3 linked regions of the Stegostoma tigrinum genome follow. The protein of the gene in region 1 purifies or fractionates together with the protein of each later gene. This does not show direct contact. Links are inferred from orthologs where the notes say so. Each region holds a gene or a part of one and is shown on either strand. Other genes may lie near its edges.

The links. Proteins that work in one complex are often made in the same cells at the same time.
Region 2: the proteins of zzz3 (region 1) and tada2a purify together in Homo sapiens (affinity purification with mass spectrometry; 4 studies listed by BioGRID and IntAct, with this or other methods). This does not show direct contact. The link is inferred for Stegostoma tigrinum from reciprocal best matches to the Homo sapiens genes ZZZ3 and TADA2A.
Region 3: the proteins of zzz3 (region 1) and tada3l purify together in Homo sapiens (affinity purification with mass spectrometry; 4 studies listed by BioGRID and IntAct, counting the BioPlex papers as one, with this or other methods). This does not show direct contact. The link is inferred for Stegostoma tigrinum from reciprocal best matches to the Homo sapiens genes ZZZ3 and TADA3.

What each region holds. Positions count from the first base shown.
Region 1 is NC_081361.1:92,318,917-92,326,130, forward strand, and holds the start of zzz3 (ZZ-type zinc finger-containing protein 3), read right to left. Parts: upstream 3,014-7,214; 5' UTR 2,824-3,013; intron 1,089-2,823; exon of another isoform or gene 874-1,088; intron 1-873.
Region 2 is NC_081380.1:33,512,447-33,520,227, reverse strand, and holds the start of tada2a (transcriptional adapter 2-alpha), read right to left. Parts: upstream 3,024-7,781; 5' UTR 2,848-3,023; coding exon 2,823-2,847; intron 185-2,822; coding exon 78-184; intron 1-77. UniProt on the Homo sapiens protein: Component of the ATAC complex, a complex with histone acetyltransferase activity on histones H3 and H4. Required for the function of some acidic activation domains, which activate transcription from a distant site. Binds double-stranded DNA.
Region 3 is NC_081364.1:18,563,703-18,570,579, reverse strand, and holds the start of tada3l (transcriptional adapter 3), read right to left. Parts: upstream 3,024-6,877; 5' UTR 3,008-3,023; coding exon 2,980-3,007; intron 2,970-2,979; exon of another isoform or gene 2,657-2,969; intron 464-2,656; coding exon 228-463; intron 1-227. Other genes in the region: uncharacterized protein LOC125460488, read left to right, coding at 3,538-3,540, 6,600-6,715. UniProt on the Homo sapiens protein: Functions as a component of the PCAF complex. The PCAF complex is capable of efficiently acetylating histones in a nucleosomal context. The PCAF complex could be considered as the human version of the yeast SAGA complex.

The DNA of each region.
Region 1 (7,214 bases):
TGTAAACTAGCAGAGAATGTTTCATGTCTGAAATACCAATCCGCACTCCTTTCATTTCAGAAAATTACAAAGCCACCTTTGTTTATTTTCCCTATATGTTCCTCTTCTAATCAGTTTAACTAGGCTTGAACTGTAGAATAAAACTCATTCAAATTCAGTTACCACAAAGACAATTCCACTACAAAGTTCTCATGAGTTTCCATGAGGATAAGAACAAATCGCGAAAATCCCTGGTTGCAAAAGGAGAGGTGCTGAGAAACCCAGGGGTCATGTATATAACTTGAGTACACAATGCCATAAATTACCGTTTTTGGATTACAAGATCTTGCGTCTAACAGATCCGGAATTTCTCGTTTAAAAAATATTGGCTGATGAGGAAACAGTACTAACAGTACTTTGCTCGAACTTCCAGTTACGGAAAACACCAAAATAACAGCCCCAATCTGTGTACAACCAACTGGCAGAGTTAGGCCAAGGCTTTAGTTTGGAGAGAAACATTTATAAGAGACAGGAACAGAAGAATATTAATCGAAGCAGCAGGAACAAAAAACGATCACTCAGCTGGTTACCTGCAGCATTAATGTGGATACATAATGTATCAGCCCGAAAAATTAAGTGGTGAACAAGAAGAGACAGTGTAGCTTAAGTACTGAAGGTGAAGTTACATACAGAATTAAATCCGTGCCAACCTTCACTCTCATAATGCAAACAACAACAAAAAATCGTGATTTGATTATCCTACTCGGCATTTTTTAAGACGCTAGTGAACACATGGCCCAGTCGAACGCCTCGTCCAGACACGTGTTAACTTCCACCTGCCGCAGGAGACAAAAAAACCGACTGTTTTAGAGACGTTTCCGATTCCAAACTGACCTCAAAATGACCAACCTCCCAACATGTGCGAAGGAGGACTGAGTCAAAGCCGTGATCAGGGACAATCCAACCCCGCTCCACACACAGAAAGAGAAACACCAAGAAAAATACAAAGTGCCAGAGTTTTCTTTTTTAAAAATAAATCCAAATACAAACATAACCTTCGAAAGGAGTAGGAGCTGTATTTGCTGAACCTGCACTAAAGCACACGTGTTCCGCATATTTATGACCAAATAAAAACGGGTTACTTCACCACAAAGTGCACACAAAGCAGAGCAGCGAGTCTCACTGGTCACTCCATCTACTGCAAGGAAAATTAATGCAGCAGCTGGGTACTGCGAGTAAAAGGGAAGTTCCACACACATTTCACGTATACTTCATTAACGCACACAAACTCGGCACCAATGCAAGTGTATTTATCTATAGTCTGTCAGTACATCGTGTTATAATATACATCACACAGATAACAGCATGAATTCACAATACTGTCAGTACACAGTCCGTTATATATCTCATTACAACATGAACGCGTGCATTTCTATCTATAGTCTGTCAGTATATGTTACAATTTACATTACACAGATTACAGCATGAATACATGTGTATTTATAATCTGTCAGTATACTGTTATATATCTCATAACATGAACACGTGCATTCATATCTACGGGTTGTCAGTATGTTATAATATACATTACAGATTATAGCATGACTACGTGCATTCATAATTTTGTCAGTTCTCTATCTCATTATAGATATACAAACATTCAAATTGTAATGTGTCAGTACGTTGTGTTCAACATGAATGCAAGTGACTTCATCTATGATCAGTATATTGTCAGTTATAATACAAATCACACAAAGATTATAAACACATTAATTCAGACATATGCACACGTGTGAATTGAAACATATGTGAAATCAGTTGTAAAAGGGCAGCTTGCTGAGATAAATAAAATAAGAACTGGCATGCCACTGACAGGAGAAATTTTAAGTGTGCGAGTCTCAGTAAATAACAAAGGAACATGTTCCAGTATCTGGGGAACCTCTAATTTACCCTGAAGGATGAGGGAGAGAGAGAGAGAGAGAGAGAAGGGAAACCTGTTGAGGAAATGATGGTAAAAGTGATCCCAGGACAAAGAAACGAAAAGCCCACTTGGAGAGGGAGAAGAAAAAGTTTACTGAAAGGGTCGGAGAGTGGGATGGGAAACCGACGAACATTGTCGGTGCCTTGTTCCGGACAACACCATCCACACCCCACACCACACAACCTCAGAGGGAGAGGGAGGTAGGCCTCACGGAGCCTTGAGGCGATCCCCGGCCTCGCCTAACAACAGTGGCCGACCTCAGGCTTTACACCGTCGGCCTCAGGAGGTGGGGTGGCGGGGTGGACAGTAACAAAAGAAACACAGCTGAGAGGAAAGGAAACAGTCGATGTCAGGAAAAAAATATATAAAAATGAAGGGGGAGCTTGTGTAGGCTAATTAGCAACAATTCCAATGAATAAACATAAAATAAAACACTTTCGGCTCAGCTCGCAGCCTGCACCATGTTTACGATCGGGATGGCGAACGTAAGTTGCTGCTTTGAGCAGGGCATAAGGATGAGCAATCGAGTATTTACAAATAATTTATTATATAATCCATTCACCTCCGAACCCCCGTTGCGGGCGGAGGCGGCTAAACAAAATTGACAGGGTTTTTGTTTAACGTTTCTTGACCGACCGTGCGGCTCTCCCGCGCGGGCGGCGGCGAAACGAAACACCGCGTTTTTTTTCCTCCCTCGTGCTTTGGTATGTTTCCCGACCGACCGAGCGGCTTTTCCCAGGGCGGATGGGTGGTGATTAAAACGGAGGAGGAGGAGGAGGAGGAGCCCGCCCGCGCACTACGCGGGCCGCTCTTGACACCCACCGCCCCCCCCTCCCCACTCCGCCTTTAAAGGCGAGACTCACTCTTTTCCCCGATACCGGCGCCTCGGGCTCTGTGGTTACCGCTGCGGAATCCGCCACCATTTCCTCGGCTGGTTCGTCCACTCTCTCCTGCTTTGGATCCCATTTTTCGGTCTCACATGATCCCACAGCCACTTCTTCCCTTTCTCTCGGCTCGCTGCTGGTAGCGGCGGTGGCGGCGGCCATGGGAAGGGGGGGGGGGGAGGGTGGGGTGAGGCCTTCCCCTCCCCCCACCTTCCACCCGCCTCTACCCACCTCCCCCCCCCCCGCCACACTCTCACTTACCTCACTTCCGCAAGGATGCGCAGCGCCCTCGGCCGCCATCTTTGCCCCGGCTGCAGCCGGCCTCCCAGAATCCACTGGGGGTTTTTGGGACGTGCGGCGGTGGTGACGGAATGAGGAGGCGAGGGCCCAGCGCAAACAACACCCCGTCTCTCCGCGCGGCGATACGCACACGCACCACTTGTGGCGCACTGACAGCGTTCCTGCCCCCGAGCCCGAAGCTCGCGGGTTCGAGTCCAGCCGGCGCCAGAATGGATGCTTGAGCAAAATTAATTGATTTGGAGAATAATAAGCCCTAAGAACTCTAGATGCTCGAAATTTCTCCCCTCAGATGCTGCCAGACACAACACGAGTTTTCTTCCAGCGATTTCGTTATTCCTAGTAAGGAAATTAATAAGGAAAAACTCAGCAGGTCTGGCAGCATCTGAGGAGAGAAGGCAGAATTAATCATTTGCGGTCTCACAACCTTCTTGCAGTACTTTCATAAAAACTCAACAGGTCTGGCAGCATCTGTGGAGAGAAGGCAGGGTTAATATGTCAGGTGAGATGAGTCCTTACCCAAAGCCCCACGCACTAGGCCTTGTCACCATTTGGGCTGCTACCACAGTGAAAAGTCTTTTTTTGCGACTGGTACAAAACAGATGATAACATTCAAGGACAAACAGACAATAGGGTGCTTAGACAAAGTGAGGCATACAACTTTACAGCCGCACAGAAGGGAGGAGGAACAAAAACAGAAGTTGCTGGAAAAACTCAGCAGGTCTGGCAGTATCTGTGAAGAATAAATCAGAGTTAACGTTTGGGGTCTGGTGACCCTCTGATCAACATTGGATGTGAAATTAGAGAGGTCCATTCATCAGTCTGATAACAGCAAAGGAAAAAGTTGTTCTTGAACTTGTTACTACTCGAGTCTAAGCTTCTGTTTCTTCTGCCTGATGGTAGAGGTTGGAAGAGATTAGAACCTGGGTGGGAGGGGTCTTTCATGATGTGGGCTGCCTCACTTTAGTAACAATGTGGTACAATGACACAGTGGTTAGCACTTCTGCCCCATGTGCCTGGAACCCAGCTTTGATTCCAGCCTTGGGTGACTATCTGTGTGTGTTTCCTCCCATGGTTCAAAGATGTGCTAGTTAGGTGAATTGGCCATGAGAAATGTGGTGTATATATGGTAGGGGCATGGAACTGGGTGGGTGCTTTTTGGAATGTTATGATAAACTTGATGATCAGAATGGCCTGCTTCCACACTGAGGGATTCAATGATTTTCGGACAGCACAGTGGCTCAGTGGTTAGCACTGCTGTCTCACAGTGCCAGAGACCCAGGTTCAATTTTTCACTTCCTTCCCATGTCTGTGTGGGTTTCTGCCGGGTGCTCTGATTTCCTCCCACAGTCAAAAGATGTGCGGGTTAGGTGGATTGGCTATGATAAGTTTCCCGTAGTATCCAAGGATGAGTAAATTAGGCAGATTAGCTATGGGAAATGTAGGGTTACATGGAAGGGGTAGATGATAGGTCTGGGTGGACTTGTTGGGCCTAATGGCCTGTTTCCACACTGCAGGGACTCCATGATTCTATGATTCTAACAAGAAGTGTAGATGGGGCCCACATGGGAGGTTGGCTTTCATGACGGTCTGGGCTGTGTACACAACTTTCTGTAGTTTCTTACTACGGTTTTCGTACCAAGTCATTAGAATTCTCACTAGGGTGCATCTGTAGAAGTTGGTCAAGGTCCCTATGGACAAGCTGAATTTCTAAGCCTGAGGAAGAAGAGGTGTTGTCGTGTCTTCTTGACCATCATATTTACATAGGAGGTCCAGGACAGATTGTTGATGATCATCACTCCTAGGAACTTGATGCTCTCGACCATCTCCACCTCTGCTCCATTGATGTAAACAGGAGCATGTCCTCCTCCTTTCCTCCTCAAGGCAATGATGAGTTCTTTTGTTTTGTGGACGTTGAGAAAGAGATCGTTATTGCACCATGAAACTAAGCCCTCTATCTCCTTTCTGTATTCTGACTCATCATCATTCGATAGCTGACCTACCATGGTGATGTCACCAGCAAGCTTGTAGATGGTGATCATATGAAATTTGGCCACACAGTCATGACTGTACAGAGAATACATAAGAGGTCTGAGTATACATCCTTGAGGGTTGCTAATGTTGAGGCTTATTGTGGAGGAGGTTCTGTTGTCTATCTTCCATGTTTCTCTGGAAGCTGAGGATCCAGTTGCAGGAGGTGGAGTGAACACCTAGGTCTCAAAGTTTCGAGATAAATTGGGATTATAGGGTTAATGGCGGAGCTGTGGTCCCTGTTAGCTGCTGTTGATTTTCCAGCTCACCTATACCCGTTCCTTTGTCTGCACAACAGTTTCTATCTGGGCACCATCTCCACCTATCATTTAACTCTTTCTCCTCTCACCCCACCTTCAGCATATATAAACCTCATTCTAGCTACTATCAGGTCTGAAGGAGGGTCAATGGACTCGAAATGCTCCTCAGATAAGGGAACCAAAATCGTATGCAGTACTTTAGATGTGGTCTCACTAATGCTTCGTACAGTTTCAATATCACTTCCTACTCTTATCCCTTATCGTTAGCAATAAATGTTAGAGTTCCATTATTACTTGCTATTACAGCCAGATCTCTTACATTCAAGTCATTAATATAGGTTGTAAATAGTTGTGGCCCAAGGATAAAACGCTGTGACTACCTCATTGGTAACATAATTTCTATGTTTTAGTGGGGCTCATACTCACTGGAGTTTATGTCAAAAATTGGAGCAGGAGTAGGACATTTGGTGCTATGAAATTGCTCTGCAATTCAACGTGATTATAGCTGACCGTCTATCTCAATGCCATATTGCCTCTTCATCCCAATACCCTGGGATGCTCTTAAAATCTCAAAACTCTATCTACCTATCTTGAATATATTCGATGTTGTAGCCTCCAGCGCCTTCTGTGGTAGAGAATTGCATTGGTTCATGAGTCTTTGAAAGAAGAAATCTTTATGTCCATCCTAAATGGCCTGCACCACGTCCTGAGACAATGAACCCTGGTTCTAGACTCCCCAACCTTCTCATTCTCCTAAACTCTAGTGAATAAAGGAATATCCCAGACCAGAGGTTATAATCTCACAGTCAGGAGGCAATGGCCTAGTGGTATTATTGCTGGTTTGTTAATTCAGAGACACAGGTAATAGTCTGGAAACCGAGGTTGAAATAGTGCCGTGGAATTTGAATCTAATAACTAAACAAAAATCTGGAATTAAGAATCTAATGACCTCTAAGGTTTTGGAGGAGATTTGTAGCTTGGGTTATGGGTGCTAAGGTTGAGAACAATCTAATGACCACAAATTGTTGGGAGTGGGGGAAAGCCATCGCATTCACAAACTGCCATCCTGACCTGGTCTGGCCTACCAGTGACTCCAGACCCACAGCAACGTGGTCAACTCTTGACTGCCCTCCAGACAACTAGGGATGGGCAATAAATGCTGACCTAGCGACACCCTCATCTTGTGAACTAACTTTAAAAATAGTCAAACAAAGATAGCCCTGTCATCCCTCAGTGTCAACCTGGTGAACCTAGAATAACAATAATAATTAGAAGAATGGGAGGCAACCTTATTGAAACATGGAAGATACTTAGCGGGTTTGACAGGGTGGATGTGGAAGAGGTTGGTTCCCATCATGGGTGAGTCTCAAACCAGTGGACATCATCTCAGAGTAAGAAGTCACCAATTAAGACAGAGCTGAGAATGCTCGTCTCGCTTGTGGCAAGATGGCAGCAGAGTAAGTGGCTCCATTTTGCTCGCCAGTTCTCTCTCTTTCTTTCCTTGACCATCCTTTTTTTGGCTCTCGCTTCTTCTCCCTCCCTCTGTAGTATACACCCCTGCCCCTTTTAACTACCTACCGTAGGAGTTGAAAGGTGACTGGGCACCTCATGGCGGGAGCTGAATGCACGGGCTGTGTCCCGCAGCAATGGCGGATCGAGAGCGATCCGGTGAGAGCGGGCCAGTGAGGCAGCCTGGAGTGGAATGCGGGGGCACGGCGAGGGCTGGAAAGCCTGGAGTGGGACTGTGGCAGGGGAAAAGAAAGTTGGACTCAAACCCCCTAA
Region 2 (7,781 bases), on another chromosome or scaffold:
GTGGGGTATGAAATGTAAGAATGGAAGACAAATGTATTAACTTCAATCTCTTATAAGCTCAAATAATGGTAGTGTACCTGTAAACATATAAGTAGTGGAGGAGGTCCACAGTCTGCACACTTTATGTAGGGTTCCATTAGATAAGAGGAACATCCACGACATGGTGGTTGATCAAAGGGGTCACCTGAAATAAAGTCAGATCAAGGCAATTCAGCAAGTGATATCTCCAAATAGTATGCATAGATTTAATGTTACAGTAAATATTCATACAACAAATTACCTTGTGGTATCTGTAACAGAGGAACTGTTACATTTTAATGCAATCATCAGGGCCATTCCAACAACCACCTAGAAACCACTTCTCATATATTTTATGTAATTCTCAATGTGAACATGAGATTGCTATACCAACCATGAGAAAACCAGACAGCAGCCTGTATAAGGATATTAGCTTTTCAAGCTTTGATTTGTCTCTGAAAAAAAACACTTTTAGCTGTATAACACTAGGTTGCAGTACTGGCAACTACAAGCAATGCAGCAATGGTAACAACAGTTTAAATAAAATAATTTCAAAGCATCAATGAAAGATCAGATACATGAGCTTTGCGTTAAAAGTGATTTTTAAAAATTGAGAAACATGAAAACTGGATTAGTAATAACACTATTATATGCATATACTTTATTAATACAACTATTTTTGCTCCCTATGTAGAGTTTCTGATCAGGAAATGGGTCATTACAGACAAGTGTGTGACTTGGAAAAGAAAATGCCAGAAATACTCAGCAGGACAGGTAGGTTGGTAAGAAAGAGAATTAAAATTTTAGTTTGATTATCTGTCAACAAAAATGGAAAACGTTACAGATGCAACAAGCCAGAAAGTAGAGGGGTGGGAAAATTGGGGAAAGGTAAAGAACAGAAAAAAAACTGTTAATTGGGCAGAAGACAAGAATAATTAAATGCCAAAAGATCAATCATTTTAGCACTCCTGTATTCCACACTATAAGAACTTCCCTTTCATTGTAATCTCCTTCATGATCAATGTACTTGCTTAAATCCCTGTAAGATTTGTAACTTTTTTCCAGTTCTCATGAAACATCAGAGACCTGTAGCACTATTTCAATGACCACAGATGCGGCCTAACCTGCTGAGAATTTCCAGCACATTATTAATTTCAGATTACTGATGTTAGCAGAATTTTGCTTTTGCGCACGGCATATGTGAAGTACTCCATGATCTAATTTGTTTTGCATGAAACTATGGGGAATAAGGGAAAATCCTGTTTAAAAACCTAGAGGTAAAGAACGTGACTTTCAAAAGGTTCTTTGGACATATGCAGCGTTGGTCTTTAGAAGGTTTTGAAATATTTTCACATTAATTCTAGGAGGAAATGGAGAAAATCTGAATATAAAATTGCCCCTAATTTGATAAAAATTAGAAGCAACATTTTTTTTGACTGGATAGACGTGGCATGGTGGAAGGGGAGAAGAAATACAACAGGACAAGATATCAGTTTGCAGCAACTGTTTTTATTTCCTTTCCCCTTTCATGCGATCTTTTAATGCCTCAGCAGCCCACCCTGGTGTAATACATGTTTTCCCAGTTGTAAAGTTTGAGTGGTGCTCTGGTGGCATAATAGGAAACTGCTAGATAAACGTGCTTTTACATCTAGATTTTACTTTGGTGAGTTAAGGAAATTGTTAAGAATTGGACTGCTTTCCCTGGCAGTCTTTCAAGGAGGCAAAATACTGAAATATAAAACAGAATTACCAGAAACAATATTAACCTCCTTCCATGCATTTACTGGTCTGTCTCTGCAGCTTTTTCCTGCTTTTGTGTTTCAGTAGTTTTATTTCACAATAAGACTTACACAAAATTGCACACAGACATAAGTAAACATACACACAGAGTAAGGTAGGAAGTTTTAGTGACTGGATGTTTGCATCCACAAGAAACTTTGATACATCCTGTACTCACTAAAGGTCTAAAGAAATGCATAAACTTTTTTCTTATCACAGTGATGGGCTGACTTGTTGATCATTTTCAGTGTATTTTGCACTTCTAAGACTTAACGATTTGTTTTGGGGTGCTGTTGAAATACTACGGACACCAAAGGTAAGGGCAAAATGAAAAGTTTACAAAGGCCAGCAATTCAAACGATGGATGATGCTTCTCGACGAGCAGCTCAATTTACTTCTCTCAGTTAACGTGAACCAACCTTGAGTGGGTCTGTTACAGCTCAGGTCACACAGCTTGCCTGCACTTCGCTCTGCGGCCATCAGAAGCGAGGGAGAGCTAAATGCACAACACACGTGGCATATTCACCGTACTAAACACAAATGCTCCACTGACTTTAACCCCGGTTTGAGACACACAGATAAGTGAGTTGGAGCGAGCAATTAAATTCAGTCTGAAAAGGGTTGGGTTGGTACAGTTTATCTGCGAGTCTGAGCTCTTAGGGCGCTGTGTTTTGGTTTAGAAAAGAAAGGTGACCTGGTGGGAGGAGAAGTCGGCTCCGAAACAGTGATCCATACAATAAAAAGCACGGCACATCACTGTGGCCACACATTTATTTTAGGCAAAGACATCTGGATTTTCTTTTAGCATTAGGTGTTTGGTGGTTGTGGGTGTTGAAAGAAGAGCTTGGAAGAGGAGCTTTTATTGAGAAGCAAATTTCTCGCCCAAACGCGAGTCTAATTCAATTGCCGGCTCGTGGTTAAGGCTGCAGCTACAGGCCCGAGGAAAGCACCGATCCTCTGGTTATCAGCCATCCACACCCCCTCCATCCCCCGAGGGTGAGACACAGGGCGGGGGGGCTACTCACTGCCGAAGGGTGCCAGCCGATCCATGCTTCACAAAATGACGCCGACGAACGAAAACGGAAACAAAATTTGTCAGTCTGAACTAAACCGCGGTGACGACCCAGCACCGACGACTGTTTTTGTCTTTGGCTAAAAGACTGCTGCTTCTCCCCAGCGCCCCGCTCGCTGTCCGCCTGCCGCCATTTTACTCCCCAACTCACTCCAACGGCCCGCCCGCAAGATGGCCTCCGCCGTCACTCAGTAGGATTGACAGCGGCCCCCACCAATCCAATGTCAGCGTTCGCACGCAATCCCGCCCCCTGCTCGCTTTACTGCTCCAATACTGGCTGTGTACTGGTGGCCCTCTCCCACTGACATTGTATGAATGAGTTTATTGCCATGTGTATTTTACAGTAAGAATACAGTAAAATACACAGTGAAAAGCTTTCACTTTTCGCCACGATCTGGCGCCATTTTGAATAATTTAAGAATAAGGAGAGAAAGATATAGCTGAAAGGAACAAAAACACAAGTTGCTGGAAAAGCTCAGCAGGTCTGGCAGCATCTGTGCAGAAAAAACAAATCAAGAGTTAACATTTAGGGTTGGTGGCCCTTCCTCAGTGCTGATTTTTTTTTCCTCCATAGATGCAGCCAGACCTGCTGATTATTTCCAGTAACTTCTGTTTTTGTTCCAGATTTACAGCATCTGCAGTTCTTTTGGTTTTTATATAGATTAAAGGGAGTCCCTCAGTCCTGAGACATAGTAAGAACTGCCGATGCTGGAGTCAGACAAGGCATTGAGGTCTGAAATTCAGATTTCTGAAGGGGTTGCCGACCCGAAACGTCAACTTTCCTGCTCCTCTGATGCTGCCTGACCTGCTGTGTTCCTCCAGCTTCACAGTGTGTTACGTCAATCAGACCTGAGCCAGTTTATGACCATCATCGACACCTGTGCCGCCATCCCCCTGCCCCCACACTGCTTTTGCTGCCATCTGTTCCGGACCCAACCGACATCTTAACCAGTTCCCTCCCCCCATCCCCCTCTCTGATGAAGGGTCTAGGCCCGAAACGTCAGCTTTTGTGCTCCTGAGATGCTGCTTGGCCTGCTGTGTTCGTCCAGCCTCACATTTTATTATCTCGACATCTTAATCGCTGAGCCTCGGGTGCTAGTTTTTGCTGCTGGGGAAATTCTCCAGCGCACCTCGCTGCAGCCTGCACCAGATCAAACAATGTCCGAGTCACATCGTCCACCACTGGGCCCATCTTGCTGGTGTTGCTGTGATGCCCTTCCACCACCACTTTGCTGCTGCCAGCACAGGACCCAGCCAATGATTAAGTTGCTTATCCTCAGGTGCAATCTTTCGCCCAGGGGCCTACCTCACCAACGTTTCCTTCACTGGCGTAGCAGCTGCCGATTGAAATGCCAACTCCTGTGCTCAACCTGGAAAAGGGCCCACTTGAGGTCTGTGTTGGGCTTTCGCTGCTGCTGCTGCTGCCATCCAAGCTCAGGACAATAGTAAAGTAAGGGTATCGGAAGCAAACAAAAGTAAGACAGACGAAAAAAAGAAAGAAGGAAAGTGGTTGGAGCAGATGAGCTCCAGTTAATGCTGCCATCTTGCTTCCAGTTTCCAAGGGTCTGGACAGAATTTAAAATTAGTTTAGTGTTCACAAGTGATCACAAATTCACCTTTCACCACCTGCGTATTGCAATTTAAGAGCACATGTGTACTGATTCATACCCAGATATGAGTGGACTGCATTGTACCTGACAACTCAAGCTATCAATGGATTCTGCAAAATGTTTGCAGTTATTGCATTTTTCATGACCTCAGAAATTAATTGACTGAGAGAAGTACCTCAAGTACTTTTGAATGCTGGCTGGTCTTAGCAAGAACCTGCAAATTAACCAACCACAATTTGAATTATGCTGGTGGGATAAATGCTAAACAGCTCTCCTCCTCCAGAAAGCCATGTACTGTAGCATAGAACTCAAGCCAAGAGGGTACTTATGGTGCAATGGCATTGTCCCCTAACTCTTAACCACGAGTTCAAGTCCCATCTACTCCAGAGATGTGCCATCAAACATCCTTGAGCAGGCTGATTAAAAAATACCTAGAAGCCAATCCTTAAACACATTTATATTTGTTTATTTTACACATTTCAAGTATACAAACACAACCATTCTTCATGTGGCTATTTATAGGGTCCAATACATCAATGCTCCTAAGTTGCACATACAACTAATATGGAATTAAGAGTTTGTCGCTTGTACACTCAAACAAAGTCTACACTTCCATCTGGCATATTTAGTGCTACCATTCTCCAAGGGACCTCCAGAGCCTGTTTGGTCAACTGTGGTAGAAGAAACAATTTACTGGTCTTACTAAAACAGGCTCTTATATTAAATAAGTACTAGTTATTTACATTAGCAACTAAGTACAAGTTACTTTGATGATAAATACACCCTCTGTTCTGGATATTAGGTTTTGAGATCCCATTCTTCCTGCCAGGCCATTTGACATCATAATGGATGGTGGTTAGGGCATTCCATATAAACCCTTTCAGAGCTTTATGCAATGATTATCCCTCCGAAACAGATGCAATCTCAAGGTTAGAGCTCGCAAGAACTGCAAATGCTGGAGTCAAAGATAACACAGCGTGGAGGTGGAGGAACACAGCAGGCCAGGCAGCATCATAGGGGCAGGAAAGTTGACGTTTCAGGTCGGAACCCTTCTTCAGAAATGGCTTCTCAGAAGAAGGGTCCCAATCTGAAAAGTCAACTTTCATACTCATCTGATGCAATGTCAACGATTATATGTGATTAATGAGGATATCTGAGGATTACAGTCTGTCTCTTAGAGCTCCAACATGGGCTGTGACATACACACTGCATCACCCCAACCCCTCCAAGGTTCTGCTTAGAATGACTTAAGTAGAAGTCTATAAAAAGTTACATCTTGTTCAATCAGACATATCTAAGTTTTTAAAAATGAATAAAATTTGATGTACAGAATTTCAGAAAAAATAATTTTATATTCATGGACTGATAAAGTAAATACTTTTCTAAAGCTTAATATTAAAGATTTTATTTGGAATGTTTTATCTTCTATCCTCACTGCACATATATGCGCCGCTATGTAATTTGCTCTAAAACCTTTTATTTCAGTGCTTTGTGTTTCTGATTTAAGGGATGAGATTATTTGTGAAAATAATTTAATTATTTCAGGCGTTTAGATCATCTGATGACTTCACTGCTGCTTCAAGTTGTTCATGCCCAGTAAAGATTGCTGAATCAGTTGCTGCACTACTGAATGGAACTGGAGCTGAAATTTTCATCAGAGACATTACAGGATTTCTCAGCAATTGAGCATTTTAAAAAATTCATTTTGTTGTGTGGATGTGGACGTCACTGGCTGGCCAGCATTTCTTGCCCATCCGTAGTTGCCCTTCAGCATCCTTAGACATTTCTTCAGCCAGAGAGTGGTGGGCCTGTGGAATTCATTGCCACAGAGCGCAGTGGAGGCCGGGATGTTAAATGTCTTCAAGGCAGAGATTGATAAATTCTTGATCTCACAAGGAATCAAGGGCTACGGGGAGAGTGCAGGGAAGTGGAGTTGAAATGCCCATCAGCCAATGGCGCAGTGGATGCGATGGGCTGAATGGCCTTACTTCCACTCCTATGTCTTATGGTCTTACTCTGTTGCTGCTCCAAAGTCTTAGTCAATATTTTCAAAAGTCTGCACTGAAGCGTCAGTCTTTATTGTACTCAATTCTCTGAATTTTGAGGAAATCAGCACAAGTGCCAGCAATAAGTCAGAGTTCGTGGACAGAGGTACAAAAATGTTGCAATGCATGATGTGATTTATTTGTAAATTTGTGTCATGTACTTTTTTTGGTCACTTGGCATATGGAGGAATGGGATTGCACAGTGGACAAAGAGGCAAATATTTCTCTTGGGGAGAGATAATGGGAACTGCAGATGCTGGAGAATCCAAGATAACTAAGTGTGAAGCTGGATGAACACAGCAGGCCAAGCAGCATCTCAGGAGCACAAAAGCTGACGTTTTGGGCCTAGACCCTTCATCAGAGAGGGGGATGGGGTGAGGATTCTGGAATAAATAGGGAGAGAGGGGGAGGCGGACCGAAGATGGAGAGAAGATAGGTGGAGAGGAGAGTATAGGAGGGGAGATAGGGAGGGGAAGGTCAGTCCAGGGAAGACGGACAGATCAAAGAGGCAGGATGAGGTGGTAGGTAGGAAATGGAGGTGCAGCTTGAGGTGGGAGGAGGGGATGGGTGAGAGGAAGGTTAGGAAGGCAGAGACAGGCTGGGCTGGTTTTGGAATGCAGTGGGGGCAGGGGACGAGCTGGGCTAGTTGTGTGATGCAATGGGGGAGGGGACGAACTGGGCTGGTTTTGGGATGCCGTGGGGGAAGGGGAGATTTTGAAGCTTGTGAAGTCCACATTGATACCATTGGGCTGCAGGGTTCCCAAGCGGAATATGAGTTGTTGTTCTTGCAACTTTTGGGTGGCATCATTGTGGCACTGCAGGAGGTCCATGATGGACATGTCGTCTGAGAAATGGGAGGGGGAGGTAAAATGGTTCGCGACTGGGAGGTGCAGTTGTTTGTTGCGAACTGAGCGGAGGTGTTCTGCAAAGCGGTCCCCAAGCCTCCGCTTGGTTTCCCCGAAGTAGAGGATGCCACACCGGGTACAATGGATACAGTATGCCACATTGGCAGATGTGCAGGTGAACATCTGCTTGATATGGAAGGTCATCTTGGGGCCTGGGATAGGGGTGAGCGAGGAGGTGTGGGGGCAAGTGTAGCATTTCCTGCGGTTGCAGGGGAAGGCGCCAGGTGTGATGGGGTTGGAGGGGAGTGTTGTGCGGGCAAGGGAGTCGCGGAGAGAGTGGTCTCTCCGGAAGGCAGACAAGAGTGGGGATGGAAAAATGGCTTGGCTGGTGGGATCGGATTGTAGATGGCGG
Region 3 (6,877 bases), on another chromosome or scaffold:
TTCCAGTTTATATGTAGATTAAAATTACTCAATTATTGTCCACTTTTTAGAAACTCCCAATATTTCCTCTTGTATATTTTGTTCTATATCATTTTTTTTGGTGGGGGAGGCATGCAGTACATCACTCCCACTGGTGATTTATTTCCTTTACAATTCCTCCATCAGACGAATTCTGGTCAGTTAGCATTCTGTTCAATGCAACTAACAGTTTAATGCAACATTCCTACCTGTGTTTCTGCCTCTAGAATTCGCAACCGCCGACTTGCTGAGCTCAAGAGAGTTTCCAGCTCCAGCTGTAATGTATCCAGTTCTTCGATTCCGATTCCATCATCCTCAGAGCGCGACAGCACAGCTGCATAGCGGGGACACATCTTCACGTGATCTACTGGCTTAAAGTCATGGAACTGCAGCGGGCAGTCTTTTAGTTCACTCATCTTGAGCACGTGGAAAGTTTGTCTAAGATCTGTAAAGAAATAAAAAACAATTCAAATTGAACATTGGTAGTTCTGATTAATAAGTGATATAGCAAATGGAAGGTTAACTATACACATGCAAGAAATGAAGGTTGTGAAGGGCTTCTCTAGTCGACCAACAGACTCATAGGTTCCAAATAGATTTTAAAAGCAAGTACTGCAATTGAAACAAGCTCTTCAAAGCCATCCCAGAAAAATCAGAGGGTCAGCAAGTATCCCTTGGCTCAAGGCCATGATTTTTCTAAGCGATAACATCAGTGGTGTGAAGGGCCATTAAAAATGTTTCAAAATGCCACCGATTTTTTTCTGTTTATTCCAGTGAAACAATTTATTTGCTGTGCATTTTGTCATTTATTCCAGATGAGTTTTCTAGTCAATGAGTCACTTGAAATTATAAATGCTAAACCAGTTTTACCAATTTCCTTTATTCAGCCAAACATCTGCCTCATTTTGCCTCAGTTTCCCAGGGTTTGCAGATTCAGCTGCCCTCTGTTTATTCTGTTTATTGCCTCTGCCCAACTATTCCATTACTTCATCTTCATGTATCTTCTGTAAAATGTCTTTTATATTGAGCCACAGAATTGTTACCATGTAGGAGAAAGCCATTTGGCCCCAGATGTCTGTGCCAGGTCTCCAAACTGAGCAAATAAAAACCCGATATAACTGTGGGTGCTGTAAATCAGAAACAAAAACAGAATTTGCTGGAAAATCTCAGCAGGTCTGGCAGCGTCTGTGAAGTGAATTCAGAGTTAATGTTTCGGGTCCAGTTCTAAGGAAGGGTCATCGGACCTGAAACATTAGTGCTGATTTCTCTTCACAGAAGCTGCCAGGCCTGCTAAGCTTTTCCAGCAAGTTCTCCAAACTGAGCATCTCACCTAGTGCCATTCTGCTGTTTTTTTCTCTGTAACCCTGCACATTCATCCTTTTCAGATAACCAGCAAATTCTGTTTTTACTACCTTAATTGAATCTTCTCCAAAATCCTCTCAGGAAGTGCATTCTAGACCTTAACCACACAGTGTATGAAAAACATCTTCCTCCTATCACATTTACTTTTTTAAAAACTGATGATTTTATACCTGTGCCCTCTCATTCTCAATCCTTCCACAGGTGGAAACATTTCTCCCTATTTACTCTGTCTAGACCTCAAATGACTTTGAATATTTCAGTCAGATCTCCTCTCAGTCTTCTCTTCTCAAAAAACTGTTCCAGTTTCTTCAATCGAAATTTTCTAACTGAAATTCCTTATTCCTAGAAACATTCTCTTCTGTATTCTCTCCAACAAGAAAATTATTTCTATTTTTGTTGTTTGATCTTTTTGTGCTCATCCGGGTAAAGGATGTAATCTGAAGCACATTTTATTTATAATGGGAGACTTGTAATGTAAACCTCTATTTACAGTTTCAGAGCAGCACAGTCAATAACAGAACCAAGATTCCTTTACTCTAACAGTGTTCTACTCTCAATTCACATGCACAGCTTGAGAACTCTGATCAACAACTGCAATTTTGTATTTTTGCCATATGAAATTGGGATTGGCCAATTTATTTCACATTATATCCTTACAGTTAGCTTTTAAACAATTGCTCTTGACTTGGATGTCAGACAGGTGAAAAGACATTGACTCCGTCACACAGAAGTACCTATTGATCAAAAATTAGCAGAACAAATTAAACGTCTGAAACTCTCATCAAACCAAAAGCAGATTGACTGTAAAAGGTGTTAATCGTTCACATAAAAGCAGACTTTTCAGGCGATAGGATCAAATCGTGCATTAGATGTAAAGCAAACAAATTTGGAAACAAGACTACACTATTCAACAAAGAGCAATGATGCGGTTGCTGGAAGACAATTGTATCATGGAATAAAATGACATTCAGTATTCATTTTCTGTCATCTCAGGTTTGTCAGCTGTTACTGACAGCAGTAAGAAACTATTTCCCCTGTCCTACTCCCTGCCTGCCTAACTTACAGGTAAGGCACTGTTAGACACAGGAAGGCCAGGGCATTAGTGGTGATACAAGATCAGTTTGTGTCAAGACCCCAGTTTGCAATTGCAGCTGCTAATGCACCTTTTCCTCATCCTGTAGTCAGCAATGGACCTGCTTTAACCACCTGATTCCAACATTGTGAAATAAAAGCTCTTTTTCTGTCCAAGTGCCCAGTAACCAAGACACAAAAATACCTGTAATTTCAAGCTGCAGTGCAATGAGGAACAGAATCCGTGGGTAGTTAAGGTAACAGACATTTGTTGCTATGTGCCGGCTCCCTCACATTTTCAACAGGACTTTGTTACCTTTTACCTGGGAACAGGCTCCATCTGCGACTTTACCACTACTAGGGAGAACGAGGGGATGTACAACACACAGTGGCCACCCTTCTCGCAGGCACCCGTGCAACAGCCGTGTCCTTCTCGCCTCTTCGCTAGGTTAATTAGTAATAGAGCGAAAGCGCCATGTAAAAAAATACACGTTCTGCGAAGTTGTGCAATCTTTAACCGTCACTCACCCCTAATTCTCATCCTACACTTTGTCATAGTGGTTCAGCCCACATCCTTTTCCGGTGCTTTTGGACCAGACCAATGCCATAGATAGAGGAGGGGGAAATATATAAAGCAACGTTTGTTATGAGCTTCTGGTGCGGCAAGGCCGGCTCTTTGGATCAACAACGTTTGACATACATATAATTTTATTCATTTTACAGCTTCACATAAATACCATGAAAATAAAATCCATACTTTTTGCAACGTAATTCTCAAAAGTTCACCAATTCCAGCGTGAGAAAAGTAAATACTACGCGGGGGGAGTGAAATTCAAAATCGATGATCATGTTGGCAGCACCTAAAGAGTAAGAAACAGGGAACAAAGCTTTAATTGATTGCTAAAGTTTGTGCAACTTCTGCACATGGAAAGTGGATGCAACTACGACAAAAACTACGGCAGAGCACTAGAGCGAGCTGTTACTCTCCCTCCTGGAAGCATGGTACATCCTGCAGCGGGCAGGGGCGGGGTGTGAAGAGGTACGGCTGCACATGCGCCCGGGACGTTTCCGCCTTCCGGGGAGACGATGGTAACAGGAGGGGGTCAGGGCTGAGAGGGTCCCTGAATGGGGTGGAGGGCTCGCTCCGGCTAGGTGAACAGATCGGGGTTGGGTGGGGCGGGGGAGAGAGGAGATAATCGGCACCTCCGGAGTCAGCTGGAGTAACGGCTCCAAGCGGCAGCAAGGCCCCACCCGTCCCCCGAGGGCAGGGGAGAGTTCCACACCCAACGCTTCCTGTCTCTGGGCCGGAGCTGAGCCGACTGGTATCCGGGCTGGGCCGGCTCGTGTACCGCTCTCTCCATATCAAACAGTCCAACCGTGTTACTCTTCCTCTGCCTCCAATCTGGAATGCCTTTGGTTGAGTCAGGAATTTGTGATCCTGTCGCGTCCCTGCAGCCTCCTCAGTGGCGATGGGGAAGCGAGGGCATTGATTGTGTGCCTGTTTCTAGTCGTTGATATCTGGCAGGTTGTTAATTCCTGACTGCAGTCAGTATTTCTTGGCTGGGTACTTGTCACTAGGTTGCCTTGTTCCATATTCTAACTTACGGCTGTCACTGGGACTGCGTGCCTGTTCAAGGTTGTTTGCGGTTTAGTGTTTGACGCTGTTCCTTTTAACAGGACCGTATATAGGTGCAAAGTCTTGTATTTTATGTTTAATCCTCAAGAGGTTGTGAGCGCTCACAATAGCAGTTATGGATGGCTCAGACCTTTCGTTACTTTTCAGTTATTACTTTATTCGTATAACACGATGTTGCTGTTGGCAAAAATATCCTATTCAAGGTGAAAATGATGAGTTAACTTATATTTCAAGTTCTAGCTGTGAAGTTACTTCTGGTGAGTGGTCAGCCAGGTTTCCGATGTGAAGTCCACAGTTCACTTGTCTGCTAGCAGATTAGGTTACTAGTTTAGTATTCTAGAAGCCACGGCAAGGTAAATAAAGTTTGTTTAAATTTCATTATAACAATTAGTTATACATTGAATTTGGTTTTTCTAAGAAAATGGAAATAATTCATGTGCTGATTAAAAATTACTTTATTAATGGCCTTTGGGGAAGAAAACTTCGATAGATGAGTAAGCATGATATCAGTGGTGGGTAAGTTGTTGGAGGGAATCCTGAAGGACAGAATTTACGTGTTTTTGGAAAAGCAAGGACTGATAGGAGTAGTCAATATAGCTTTGAGTATGGGAAATCATGTCTTGCTAACTTAATTGAGTTTCTAAAGAAGTAATGGAAAGAGGTAATAAAATGTGAGGCTGGATGAACACAGCAGGCCAAGCAGCATCTCAGGAGCACAAAAGCCGATGTTTCGGGCCCAGACCCTTCATCTCTGATGAAGAGTCTGGGCCCGAAACGTCGGCTTTTGTGCTCCTGAGATGCTGCTTGGCCTGCTGTGTTCATCCAGCCTCACATTTTATTATCTTGGAATTCTCCAGCATCTGCAGTTCCCATTATCTCTGATACTATGGAAAGAGGTAGACTGGTTAGTAAAGTTGGGTCACATGGAATACTGGGAGAGCTAGCTTTTTGGATACTGAATTAGCTCGATGGTAGAAGGCAGGTAGTGGTGGTGCAGGATTATTTTTAAGACTGGAGGCCTGAGACGAGCAGTGTGCCACAAGGTTCTGTGTCGGGTCTGTTGCATTTCATTGTTTATATAAATGATTTGGATGTGAACAGATAAGATTTGTTAGTTTGCAGATGGTATCAAAATTAGAGGTGTAGTGGATAGCAAAGATTACCTCAGTACAATGGGAACTTGATCAGCTGGGTCGATTGGGCTGAGGAGTGGCAGATGGAGTTTAATCTAGATAAATGAGAGGGTGCTGCATTTTGGAAAGACACATCAGGGCATGACTTATATACTTAATGGCAAGGTTCTGGTTGGGGAGGTGATGCTGAACAAAGAGACCTTGGAGTCATGTTGGTAGTTCCTTGAAAGTGGTATCATAGGATAGCGAAGAAGGTAGGTTTGCCTTTATTGATCGATCCATTAAGTATAGGAGTTGAGATGTCATGTGGTGGCTGTACAGGATATTAGTTAGGCCACTTTTGGAACACTGCAGTTCTGACAGCAGGGAGACCAGAAGGATGTTATGAAATTTGAAGAGGTTCAAAAAGATTTACAAAAATGTTGCTAGGGTTGGAGAGTTTCAGCTGTAGGAAGAAGCTGAATGGGCTGGGGCTATTTTCCCTGGAGCATCGGAGATTGAAGAATAACCTTAGAAGTTTATGAAATCATGAGGGGCATTGATAGGGTAAATAGACAAGATCTTTTCTCCTAGGTGAAGGAGTCCGAAACTAGAGAGCATAGATTTAAGGTGAGGGGAAAGATTTAAAAGGGACCTAAAGGGCAAGTTTTTTTCACCCGGAGTATGGTCCGTGTATGGAATGAACAGCCAGAGGAAATGGAGGCTGGTACAATTACAACATTTAAAAGGCATCTGAATGGGTATATGAATAGGAAGGGTTTAGAGGGATATGGGCTAAATGCTGGCAAATGAGCCTAGATTTATTTAGGATATCTGGCATGGACAAGTTGAACAGAAGGGTCTTTGTGCTGTGCATTTCTATGACTCTAAGTTAAAATCCTATATGGTCAACAGATGGTATTAAGATTCAAATTACTTTGTTTTCTCCCATGTTGTTCAGCATATACAACCATACATGCATTAACTGCCTTGCTGGTCAGTGTTTTGAGTCTAAAATGGAGTGGGTGTGACCTGAGCATAGTTTTTAAAAATGGACTGTTGCTGTAGATTAACTAGAGCTAATCAAACCGCTATTATTCATTCTCACGTTTTAAATGTGATTAACCGGCTGTCTGGTATTGTTGACTTATTTGGTTTACTTAATTTTGTTTTTGTTCGCAACAAGTAGTCACTGCCTGTTAATTAAAGGGAGATCATGAGATAATCTGGTCCACTGTTCCATTCATGTCACTACATTTGTCTGAACAAAAATCTTTTATAATGAGATTTGAATTTACAGATTTAAATGGGATCTTTCCAACATTAATGTCCCTTAATGGTGTAATTGCCTAAAGGGTCTTCTAAGCTTTATTACTTTAACTTTGTTTATCACTTGATAGGCGACGCTCCGTCCATACCTGAATGCAGTCCGTGCCACACTTCAAGCTGCACTCTGCCTCGAAAACTTCTCATCACAAGTTGTGGAACGCCATAATAAACCTGAAGTGGAAGTGAGGTAGGGCACACTTGCTGGGTTAATATTTTGGTTAGTTTTCAGTATTTAAGCACCATTTGTGGTGGGGTGGGGGAAGATGCAAGAAAGTTCAGTACAATTTTCTGTTTCTTGGGATAACAAATACAACTCCAAGCATATAATCTGTATATAATTTAACTTTGA